3 linked regions of the Rattus norvegicus genome follow. The protein of the gene in region 2 interacts with the protein of the main gene of each other region in a biochemical or structural test. Links are inferred from orthologs where the notes say so. Each region holds a gene or a part of one and is shown on either strand. Other genes may lie near its edges.

The links.
Region 1: the proteins of Fgfr1 (region 2) and Fgf9 interact in a biophysical measurement, tested with the Homo sapiens proteins (2 studies listed by BioGRID and IntAct, with this or other methods). The link is inferred for Rattus norvegicus from reciprocal best matches to the Homo sapiens genes FGFR1 and FGF9.
Region 3: the proteins of Fgfr1 (region 2) and Ncam1 form a complex in vitro, tested with the Homo sapiens proteins (2 studies listed by BioGRID and IntAct). The link is inferred for Rattus norvegicus from reciprocal best matches to the Homo sapiens genes FGFR1 and NCAM1.

The regions. Positions count from the first base shown.
Region 1 is NC_086033.1:36,325,949-36,330,210, reverse strand, and holds the start of Fgf9 (fibroblast growth factor 9), read right to left. Parts: upstream 2,854-4,262; 5' UTR 2,702-2,853; coding exon 2,425-2,701; intron 1-2,424.
Region 2 is NC_086034.1:73,201,312-73,204,876, reverse strand, and holds part of Fgfr1 (fibroblast growth factor receptor 1 precursor), read left to right. Parts: intron 1-2,317; coding exon 2,318-2,520; coding exon of another isoform or gene 2,521-2,521; intron 2,522-3,297; coding exon 3,298-3,443; intron 3,444-3,565. UniProt on the Homo sapiens protein: Tyrosine-protein kinase that acts as a cell-surface receptor for fibroblast growth factors and plays an essential role in the regulation of embryonic development, cell proliferation, differentiation and migration.
Region 3 is NC_086026.1:59,059,128-59,063,393, reverse strand, and holds the start of Ncam1 (neural cell adhesion molecule 1 isoform 1 precursor), read left to right. Parts: upstream 1-1,413; 5' UTR 1,414-1,621; coding exon 1,622-1,673; intron 1,674-4,266.

The sequences.
Region 1 (4,262 bases), on a different chromosome or scaffold from region 2:
GAGGGGCCCGGAGTGTGAGGGCTATCACTTGACCTGGGCCCAGTTGTGAGGCACCCCTGGTTGGGACCCGGTAATTCACACAATAAAGGTGGATTTGGCTGGTCGCAGCGCCCCTGCAGCCCTGCGCTCCGAGTGCAGCCGGCCTTCTGCTCCCGCAAGACTAGATCCGGATGCCTTCCCTAGGCTAGTGGTTAACAATAGCATGCCACCCCCTGCACCGCCTGGCGAGGCCCTTTGTCACCCCCACCCCCACCCCTTCCCCTGCGACTGTGGCCTCGCCAGGCCAGGGGCCCCCGACCCACCTCCCAGACCCAGCGGAGCCCTACGACTCTCCCAAACCCCGCTGCGCGCTTCGGAAAGAAGGGGGGTGGGGAGGGGACCCTGCATGAGACCGCGAAGCTCAGTTCCAACCTCCAGTCTGTCCTCGGTCCCCGCCACCAACTCTCCGGCTGCGGTGCGCACCTCCGGCGGTTCCCACACCGCACACCACCACCGCGCTTCCTCGGGCGGCGGCTGTCAGCGCCGCCAGACCCGCACTCACACACAAAGAGAAAGCAAAGGGACTAAACGAGGGCAAAAAAGAAAAGTCGGACACCCTACACGCGGTCAGAAGGGAGTCGGCCCCTGTCTTTCCTCCCCTGAACCCCAGCGGTCCCCGCAGTACCGAGGGGCGCACAGGAGCACCATGGAAAGGGAGTTAGAACCCGAGCGCTCTTAGGACCGCGCGGAGCCAGAGCGGCGCGGGGCCCGGGGCTGAGCCCGCACCTGCCGGCCGGGAGCGCGGGAGGACCCGGCTCCAGCTGCCCCGGGCATCAAGCGGGCTGCCCGGGCATCAAGCAGGCTGCCCCGACCGCCAGGACACTCTATCTCCGCCACCACCGGCCTCCCGCTGCCTGTCTTGCTCGGAAAACCCGGCTCCGTAGCAGCCCTTAAGGTGGCCAGCTAGACAAGCACTCCAGTAAAGTTTAGTCTTCCCCGCGACAGCCAGCAGCGGCGTTTACTTACAGGGTGGTGGGAAGATAGTTAGGTTTCCAAGGAATCATCGCAGCGATGAGCTACACTTTCTGTTTTTAAGCAGCGAGGGGACACAAGTCAGTTGGCCATATTGACTGGGTTCACTTTCGACCCCAGCCTCAGTAGTGAATCAAGGGAGAAACCCTGGGCCTCAAGAATTTGGACTATCTTCATCCAGGCCTGGACCTTCCTCACCTCCGGGCAACATCCACAGTCCACGAAGCTAGCACGTAGTTTAGATTTCCTCCAACATCTGGCATTAAGGCATGAGGAAGAAAAATCACCACAGGACTTGGTTTTACGACCTAGTCTAAGTGTTGTCAGGTGGGTTCACTCAGGAGTTAACTCCTTCCAACAGTCTGGTTGCCCAAACTGTCGATTTTTTTTTCTTTTTTTAAGTAAAGGGGAAACCTAGATTCCACACACCCCGCCCCCTCCCCAACACCAGGCAGAACTGTGTTCGCTGACTTAGCACTGCACCACCACTGAAGGTGCCCCGCCAGGCACGTGTGTGGAAGCATGAAAGTGGGCAGAGTCCCCACCTGAGTCTGCAGCCTTCGGTGCTGAGTCACAAGTACCCTGCTCGGAACACGAAATCTTCGGAATGTCCTTTGAAATGAGCCTGCAGCTTTTGCAAGCACACGCAAACACTCACACCAGAGCCACCCAGGAAACCCACACAAGGCTACAGGCTGTGGAAATTATAAAGCAGAGGTTGGGAGTCAATGGATGTAAGAGCCGACACCCCTAGTGGGATTTCGGCCCCCCACTCGGGTCCTTTTCCCCCCCCAGGAGCTTCTGCCCGGATGTTTCGGATCTAAAACACGACCTCAGTGCTCCCCACAGAACAGCCAGCAATCTTCGCCTGCGAGGCTTTCAGACCAGCACCAGGAATAAACAGCACGCTTAATTTACAATTCAGGCAGAATGCTTATTAGAGGAAATGGAAAGGGAGAGAAACTTAATTTGAGCAAGATACCGGCTACCTACAGAAAAGTGGACGCAGTTTAAAGTTCTTAGTGATTAAAGCTTTAAACTCGTGGAAATGGGTCCGTTAGAAAGAAACTTCGTAAACCTTATCTTCTCGCATATCTAATGAAAAAACTTGGGATTTGGGTTATATTCATACTCACTACCCCCCCCCTTTAAAAAAAAAAAAGAAAGAAGAGGAAGAAGAAGAAAAGAAGGGCCTTCTGAGTGTGGAGTTGCACCAATGCCAGCCGCAGATCTGCAATTCCGGAGGCTTTTTCCCTCCCTGGGCTGGCAAGATACTCAAAGGTGTGGGGGGTGGGAGGATATGAATATGACAATATAGCCCTTCCAGCATCCCCGTCTAACCACCGCCTTCCTGGTAGTTAATAATCTGAACGTGTCACCGCGTGGACACTGAGGGGTTAAAGGCATACCTACCGAATCGGCTGTGGTCTTTCCTGGTTCCCTGGATAGTACCGTTGGGGAAGATTTCTAAGTGAAATCCAGTCCTGCAGTACAGCTGCCTCCGCCTGAGAATCCCCTTTAAATGATCCAAGTCCGTGACTGCGGGTCCCCGGGGCAGCCCCCCTGCTTCGGACTGACCCAGGTGGTCACTTAGCAACACCGGACTGTCCACCGGCAACACCGGTACGTTCCCGAACGGTACCGCGTCCTGCACACCGAAATAGCTCCCAACTTCACCTAAGGGAGCCATCAGAGGACTCGGCTTTTAATCACAAGAATAAACAATAATGATGGTATCAACCAGGAGACACTAGGCGAGGTATATCCAACTCCCCTCCCTTGCTGCAGTTGCAGACAGAGAGGGAAAAAGGGTTCTTTTCTTCAATCCATCCAATGCATAAATAAAAGTAATCGGCTGTTTCTCTGGCACAGGTTCAAGGTCAAACCACTGATAGTCTAAGAAGCCACCACTTCATACTCACACACTGACATTGATCAACACAGCTATGCATCGCTACATACGGAGCCTCGACTCCCAGCGGGCAGAAAGGTCTTCATCCCATCCGACCGTAATAAGGGAAAAAAATCCGTAGTTTCTCCATTTGCTTAGAGATCAGAATGACCATAGCAACGTAAGTGCCTGGGCGATATTACAGGGATTTTTAAGATGCTCGGGCTACGTCAGAATTTACGGATCCTGACTCCAGAAAGGCATGCGCTGTTTTTACTCTCTAACCGACTCTGCAGACATCAGCATGAATCCTTCAAGGGGAAAAAAAAAATCTCACGTTGGCGGCGGCGACAAATCTCTCCTCCCAGTCCCTCCTCCAAAAAATAAGGATAATATAACAAAAAGAAGGAAGAAAAAAACTTTCGGCGTCCAAAGCTAGTATCCAGAACGCTACAGAGGCTCTGCGGAGGTCCAGCGGCTTGCAATGAGGCGAGCGGCAAGCGGCGGGCGAGGACCGCGTCCCGGAGCTCGCGTGCTGCCCGGGCTGCCGCGAACAGGTGTCGCCGCGCGGGCCGCGCAGCGCCGTGGCCGCGGAGCGCTCCTCCTGCGCAGCCCCCGCCGGCGCGCAGAGTGGCGCAGGCGGCGGCATTGGGCCGGGTTTAAGGTAGCGCGGCGGCCGCCCCGCTCCGCCCGGTCCTAGCGCCCGCCCTGACGCCCGAGCCGCTCTGCCGCAGGCCGGGCACAGGCGGGCTGAGCGCGGGACTTCACGGGGAAACCCGAGTCCTAGGAAACCGGCTTTAGAGACGCCGGAGACGCGGTGCCAGAGAGGGGAAGCAGCAGCCCTGGAGACGTTCGGCCGCCTGAGATCTAGCTCGCTAAAGGCACAGGGTCAGAGGGGAACTGGGAAGGCAGTTTTCGCGCGGACTCTGTAACCTTGAGGCTCATTATAAAATAGACTGGAAGGGAAAGGTTGGTGTAGGGAGCTTGGCTGGACAGGGCAGTTTCTCTTTCATTCTTTATCCAGACTCACAGACGCGCAAACTATATTGCAGGTATGACAGTTGGGTGTGAGTCAGATTCTTCTCTCTCTCTCTCTCTCTCTCTCTCTCTCTCTCGCTCTCTCGCTCTCTCGCTCTCTCTCTCTCTCTCTCTCTCACACACACACACACACACACACACACACACACACACACACACACACACACACACACACTGGTGGACCCACACTCGGGTTTGTTAAGGAGTTCTGGCTCGCATCTTTGGGTTGTTCGGGTCCTTGCCTCCGCCCCCCAGGTTCCTGAGGCTAGGAGCAAAGGGCACCCAGGGCTCCTGAAAACAGCCCCTGTCCTTGAGTTCGACT
Region 2 (3,565 bases):
TGCACCGATCCTCTCCGGGTCCTGCCTTTGCCACGGGAGCAGTGCATCCATTACGGGGCTGGGGAGAGGCAGAAAGGGGCGGCTCCCATCTGCTGTGTACCCCTTTCTGCTCAGGCTTTGAGGCACAAGCAGGGGAAGTTCCTGGATTTCCAGGAAGTGACACAGCAGCCTCCCCTTGCACATGTATATCTGCCTCTCTCTCTCCCTGGCCGATGTAATGCATGTGTGAGCTCTGGGTTTACCTCGCATTTGGGCTTTCCAGCACAGGCTCCTTCCGTCCTTGGGTATAGCATCTTCCCTCATCCATTTGGTACAGAGGGTTTGAATGATGGAATCTTCTTTAGCCAATCCCAAGAAGAGCCATGGACCTCTTCTCCACGGATACATGCTCTTGGCCAATAGGAGTTTACAGCTTCCATAGAGTGTTGCTGGACCACACTTCTTCATTCTGCTTTGTACTCTGATTGACTCACTGGGATAGCAAAGTTGAGCTACCTAAGAAAGGCCTGTCTTAGCCATTCGGGATGCCTGGTGGTACCCATTTGACCTCTCTGGACATCCCTCCTGGCCTGCCCCTCTCAAGTGGGAAGATCTATGTCAGTGGATTACCCAGGAAGAAAGGAGCCTGTGGCCTTGCTGGGTGGTGGGCTGGTGACCACAGGACCAGTATGGTTTTGCTTGCATGAGACCTGAGAGCTGCTCTTCTGTGGCGGCTGAGTGCATACCTTCTCCACTCTCCCTTCCACCTCGCTTGCCCAGCAGTGCTCACACACTGCCGCTAGCAGAGAGGCATCCTGTCTTTATCGTCGTCTCTGTCTGTTTAGTCAGTGCTCCCTGTGAGTCCTCATTTCCTGACACTTGATGGGGGGTAAGGGAGAGCGGGGATGATGGACAGACACAAACCGATACCTTCCCTGTCGTCAGTTCTGTTGTTTCCTTGTCGGGCTGGGGGAGGACTCTCAGGGCTGGGAGGACTCCCAGGGTGTCACTTTGACTGGCTGAGGATTTAAAGGGAAGACTGTTGGAGGAGGGCTTATATACCTGCAGGGCAAGGAGGTTCCAGCAGATAGACTCTGTTTCTTGTAGTGAAGAGAAAGAGAGACTGGCTGGCAAGTGGGGTTGAGTATGTGTCTTAGCTGGGATGGCCACTGCGTCGGTGAAACACCATGACCGAAGGAAAGAGTTTATTTATTTCCCTTACTCTTCCATATCACCCAGTTCATCATCAAGGGCAGTCAGGGGCAGAAACAGAAACAGGGCAAGAACCCAGAGGCAGGAGGTCTAGTGCAGAGGCCAGGAAGGGGTGCTTGCTCAGCCTGCTTTCTTATAGCGCCCAGGAGCATCTGGATGGCACTGCCCACAATGGGCTGGGCTCTCCCCTATCAATTACTAATTAAGAAAATGCCCTACAGGCTTGCCTATAGCCCCCCCCTTTAAGATTTATTTATTTAATGTATATGAGTACATTGTAGCTGTCTTCAGACACACCAGAAGAGAGCATCAGATCCCATTACAGATGGTTGTGAGCTACCATGTGGTTGCTGGGAATTGAACTCAGGACCTCTGGAAGAGCAGTCAGTGCTCTTAACTGCTGGACCATCTCTCCAGCTCCCTATAGCCCATTCTTATGGAAGTGTTTTCTCCAGTGAGGTTTCCTCCTCTCCGATGACTTCAGCATGTGTCACGTTGGCATAAAACTAGCTAGCCCGGTATGAATTCTAAATAGAGAACATAGGAAAGTGATTGCCGCGCCCCATCCCATTTCCTTACATTTTAAGAATCGGGGGGGGGGGGCATGAATAGATTTCTTAACTGTCAAATACATGGTTTTCCATGTAGAGACATATTTAGCCATTCATTTACTTTGCCTATGTTTTGCTATTTACTGATCTGCTCTAACAGGTGACGGGTGTTTGGTAAGACACAGGATGAGCATTCATTAGGGTCCCACTCTGTCAGGTGTCTTGAGGCTATCTGGTCTTTTGGGCACAACAGTCTGTTTCTATATAATATGTGTGAACAGCATTGGGCTTCTGCAGGGTCTGAGGTGCCCATCCAACCCAGTGGTCAGCTAAGTAAGTTGGCACTGGAGTTAATGAGTGCTGGGCTTGCTTGCCAGGACAGTCTAGGTTGCATTTACCCTCGATGGGGTGTGAGTTTAAGGATGTTTAAGGATACCTCGGAGGTCCCAAGGTACCTGGTCCTTTGATGGCAGGATCCCAGGGGAAAGGGGCAGGTGCTGGGTTTCTCATGGGGCACACCTCTTGTGAGCAAAGCCCCGCCATGACCTGCTGACACCCTGTCCACACTGACCCAGCCCTGGAAGAGAGACCAGCCGTGATGACCTCACCTCTGTACCTGGAAATCATTATCTACTGCACCGGGGCCTTCCTGATCTCCTGTATGGTGGGCTCCGTCATCATCTACAAGATGAAGAGCGGCACCAAGAAGAGCGACTTCCATAGCCAGATGGCTGTGCATAAGCTGGCTAAGAGCATCCCTCTGCGCAGACAGGTAACAGAAAGTAGATGGGGGATTTGCAGGTTCAGCACTTTCTCACCCCCTCTTCCTGGGCCTCTGGGGTCTGCTCCCCTTCCTACCCTCTTGGGTTTTCCTCATCTCCCGCTCTGGACTTGGCTCCAATTTCTGGACACATTGGAACATTGTAAACTAATTCCGTCACCCGAGACACGGTGGGAGGAAATGAATGGGTTAGAAGGCGCAGACGCGTGAAAGATCAATCATTCCTCAGAACACCGCTGACCCAGAAAGGTGCCTGTAAGGATTAGGAATCCATAAATCTAAGGCAGAGAGTTTTTGCAAAGAGTTAGGGACAAGAGAAGAGCAGTTATATCATGAAACACTAAGCTTGAAGAGGTATATTTGGTATGCTCATTGGTTAGGTAAGCAAAATGGAGCCCAGAAAGACTTTGTTTGTCTTTTGGTTTTTCAGGACAAGGTTTCTCAGTGTAGCTGTCCTGGAACTGACTTTGTAGACCAGGCTGGCCTTGAATTTAGAGATCGCCTGCCTCAGCCTCCCAAGTGCTGGGATTAAAGGTGTGCGCCACCACCGCCTGGTTCTGGAAAGACTTTTTGATGGTGGAAACTGCTTAGTCAGAGCTTCTGTTATGGTTTTGGTTTGTTTATTTGTTTGTCTTCACCACATCCTTAGGAATAGAAGTAAATCTGAGCTATTTATGGTTTAAAAAAAAAAAAAAAGTGGGGATTTGGAAGGGAGGGGCTGGCTACGGATTCACCCTCTCCTTGCTAGAAGGGTGACCCCACTCTTTCTTACAGGTGTCAGCTGACTCCAGCGCATCCATGAACTCCGGGGTTCTCCTGGTTCGGCCTTCGCGACTGTCCTCCAGCGGAACCCCCATGCTAGCTGGCGTCTCTGAATATGAGCTCCCTGAAGATCCCCGCTGGGAGCTGCCCCGGGACAGGTAATGCTGCTGTAGTTTTCCACCGCGGATGCCCGCGCTTTTGCTCTAGCTGTAGGAATTGTGTGTGCCAGGGCCTTCTAGGCACTGAAAGAACATGATGCCTCTCTAGAAATAGCCCCACT
Region 3 (4,266 bases), on a different chromosome or scaffold from region 2:
GCAAAGAGATATTCCTTGAGCTTTTATACTTTTCTGTATTTTTAAAAATTGTTTATAATCAGCATAAGTTACAAATTATAAAAGTGAACATGAACGATTCCTGGGAGACAGAATACTTCTCGTGAATCCCTGGAACCCCCAACGTATGATAGTACCTACTAGGTACATTATACAGCAGAAAGAAGAGCTTGGTGGTGATTGGGCAGCTAGCAGAAGGTGGGGTTTCAAGGAGCCTGCCCTTTAAAGGAAATCGCAGGGCTTGGGATTATGCATGAAGTGGTGCTTTCCTCTGTCAGAGCCGCTTCTCTGAGCAAGGCCACCCTCACCTATATTTCCTGCACAACTCAAGTCCTGTTCAGGTGCTAAAGGTGTTGATTTCACTCTGTTCTCATCCCCTCTTTTCACAGACACAGCTGTTTGATTAGTGGAAGTCTTTGCCTTGACATCTCAGTTACACTGGATTTTTCATAGCCTTAAGAATAGGGGTCTCTCTCCTGCTGAAGGAGAATTCTTGCTCTTGCTCCTGTGCCGTAATACACACCGAAAAGCCAGGGCAGCAGTGGAGGGAGAGGAAGAGAGGATTCCAATACTTGCAAGCAGTTTCTGGTAATTTCTGAATACTACTTCTAAATGTCTCTGCATTTTCTTCTAACTGCCCCCCCGCACCCCCCCCCACTTCTGAGATCTGAGTTGTGCTGCTGTGAGTTGCTCCCTCTGTGGGAAGGTAAACTTCATAGGTAAGAGAAAACAAACAACAAAGCAAACCTCCACAACCCTCATTTCTCTCCAAATTTCCAATTTCCTTCACTTAGGAGGAAGAGGAGGAAGAGGAGGAAGAGGGTGAGGAGGAGGAGGAAGAGGAAGAAGAGGAAGAAGAGGAAGAAGAGGATGAGGGAAAGGAGGAGAAGAGGAGGAGGAGGAGGAAGAAAAGGAGAAGAAGGAGAAGGAGAAAAGGAGGAAGCCATTTGCTTCCTATTGCAAGGACTTTAGTAACTACATGGGGTGGGTGTGGGGGGCTCTACAACTTTGAAAAGCGAGCTGAATCTAAAAATTCTTTCTTTTTTTTTCCTAATTATTTAAACGTTCAAATTCCCGATTAAGGAACGCTGGAGGGCAGAAGGATCTCCAAAGGCTTGAGTGAAGGAAAAGGGTGAAAAGAAGAAATCCCAGCTTCTGCCTGGAAGGTTCTGTGTGAAAGAGCCCGGCTCCCTTGGTGACTCCAGGCCGTGTTTTGCAGGCGGCCGCATCTGCCTCCCCTGTCTCTTACCTCCTGGATGTTAGGAACTATTTGTGGTCGGCGTGGTGGAAGGACACAGTGAGGTTCTCACCTCCGCCCCCCGCCCGTCGCTCGCATCCCCAGTTCCATCAAAGCCAACCCGGGCCAGCGCAGGGATCTCCGAGTTGCGAGTGTGCTGAGGCTGGGGCTGTCACTCATTCTCCGCTCAGCGCGTGAACGCAGCTCGGCAGTGGCTGGCAAGAAACAATTCTGCAAAAATAATCATACCCAGCCTGGCAATTGTCTGCTCCTCGGTCCATTGCTCCGCCGCCGTCCACAGTCGCTTGCAAGGGAAGGCACTGAATTTACCGCGGCCAGAACATCCCTCCCAGCCGGCAGTTTACAATGCTGCGAACTAAGGATCTCATCTGGACTTTGTTTTTCCTGGGAACTGCAGGTACATTTTTATTTTATTTTATTTTTAAAATTCTACATCGGGTTTGTTAATTGTCCGCTTGCCCCTGTCCTTCCTCCCTTTCCCCGAGAAGCACGGTTCTTTTGGGTGGTTTTGTGTGTAAGGCAAAGACAGCATTTTCACTGAGCTGAGAAGGGAGCGCATCGCATCGTCCTTGCTTGGCCAGCCAAACCCGTGCCCTCCGGGACGGCGCTGGACGCGGCTGTCTCCCCGCTCGGTGGCGACCGCGCACGCCCTTCCCACTTGTGTGCCCGTGGAGGTGGGACAGGGGTATGGGATCAGGATGCTGCGGCTATGGGCAGCGCTGCTTTCCCCTTCCCCGAAGGCGGGTGGCGGGGATGCGCTGCTCGGGTGGTGTCGCCCCCAGGCTCATCTTCCACCTAGAGGGGTTTGTCAAGCTTAGAGAAGAGTGAACAATAAGGCTGGGGCAGCTTTCCCCCCACCGTTATGTCCCGGGCTGTGATAAAGTGAGGCTTGCAGCCTCCGCTCACTCCCCCCTCTTCCCCGCCCCGAATAACGGTTTGCAAAATGGGGCAACCACGGGCAGCACCGCAGGGCCCCGTGGCCGTTCCTGCACCCCCGTGCAAATGACGTTAGTTTTTCATTTGCCAAATTGCTGGGTAGTTGCAAAGCCTGCCATCGGCCGGGAGCACGGAGGGATGGGAGGGTCCAGCGCCGCGTTTTGACAGGAGGAAGTGCAGAGGGGCGGAGGGCGAGGAGGGCGTGATCGGGGCTGCCTGGTTGTGCGTGTGTGTGTGCGTGTGTGTGTGTGTGTGTGTGTGTGTGTGTGTGTGTGTGTGTGCGCGCGCGCGGGCGCGCGCGCGTGTGCCTTTACACGCACCGAGAGCCCAGGGTTGCACGGTGCCAGCGAAGAATGGCAGGTAGCCAGTTGCCCAAAACACCTCTCCCTATTCTCCTTTCTCTGGGTGATATTCCTAATCCTGGCAAAGTGTGAACAATGGGGCGCTCTGGAGAAAGACCGTAGCGACGCTGTCGCGGGTGGCGGGGGCTGTGCCACCGCCCAGAGATACTAAGCATCCGGGAAGGGGGCGCATTGCATTTTGGCTATTTTCATCTTGGCTTTCCCTGGAAAATTCTTCTGTGTGCCCACCCTCCCTTCCAGCTGCTGCCCCTACCCCACCCAAGGATTTGTGCTTTGGCGTCCCTGTGGACTGGGAGAGGGGCAAGCAAAAGGCGCTGGGACCGCCGAGAGCTGGGTGGGATGGGCCGACAGCTGGGGCGGGGGGGCGTGTGCTGCCAAGCACCAGCTGAAAGCAGGCCAGGCAGAGGAGACCGCGCATGGCTGTCGTTTCTGCCCAGTGTGGCTGTACTAGTCCAGAATCTCTAAGCCTTGGGTGTGGAGCGCACAGAGCGGCCCCGGGAGCACCCAGCGCGCCCCCCTCCGTGGGCAGCAGGAGAGCAGAGCTGGGCCACCGCCTCCAGCCAACTCTGGTCAGGGACCAATCAGAGCGAGTCTGGCTGGGCGGGAAGCCGCGAGAGGCTTTTATTGCGGCGCGGGTGGCGCCCGAGCTGCCAGGATGGTCTCCGGGTGTTCTAGCTTAACGGTCTCGCTCGCCACCCGCTGGGAGAGACCCCGCCCTGATACTGCCCCTAGCTGCACGGCAGTTTTCGAGGACATAAAATGGAGAAGGATGGGCCCTGGGACATCTCTTGGTCCAGCTACCTCATTCTCGCCCACTCGTGCCTCTTTCACGGCGGCTTGGAGCATTCAGGCTCCCTGTCCATGGCGCACAGTTGCGCCGGAGCGCTTCGCCTGCGAGTGCAGAATATAGCAGCCCCCAAGCTGTGTCCCAGAGAGCAGACGCGCCTGCGCTGACCCTCTGGCCAAGGACTAGACGCTAGGGTGGAGGGGCGTGGCGGGGTGTGGTAGGGCGTGTCTTTACAGGGCGTGCGGAATGGGTCCTCGCCACCGCCAAGCCCAGGACTGGCAGAGGCGTGCCCTTCTCCGTGGTGCTGTGGGTGTCCTCCTCTTAGGGTGTGCTTATTGAGACCTTCCTTCTGGATAACAGCGTGACAATGGAGACCTAATCTTCCATGATGCGTCTTTTTAGGATCTTCTTGTGGTCTTCTCCATGATGGAGATGGGTGTAACCCTCCTTCAGTGTTTCTATCCTGATAGAAGCTGAGGGAGGGAATCCTACAGTGGCGTGATACCGGACGCTCAAGCAAGACTGGCATCCTGACCAGTGTTCCCTGGAACGAAAGAATTTGTGTCTGCCCCTAAGCCCAGTCGGTGAGGACGAGGAGAAAGAAGCACATACCAGCCTATTTAACAAAAGAAAGTGGTTTTACACAGAGAATTTTCAATTAAAGTATTGTTTTCACCAGCTTAAAAAATCTAGAGAATTCAAACCAAAGGGTTAGGAAGAATATAAAAGAGGGATATATATGAATATCCCCCACCCTTAGCTGCAAATGCTGTATCCACAGACAATGGTATAGTTCAAACCCTGTTATTGGTGAATATGAAAATTTAACATATAAGGAACGCTATCTCTAGCATTGGTTAATGAATATCCTAGCGCATATCAAATGAATCAGATATTGTAGGTGT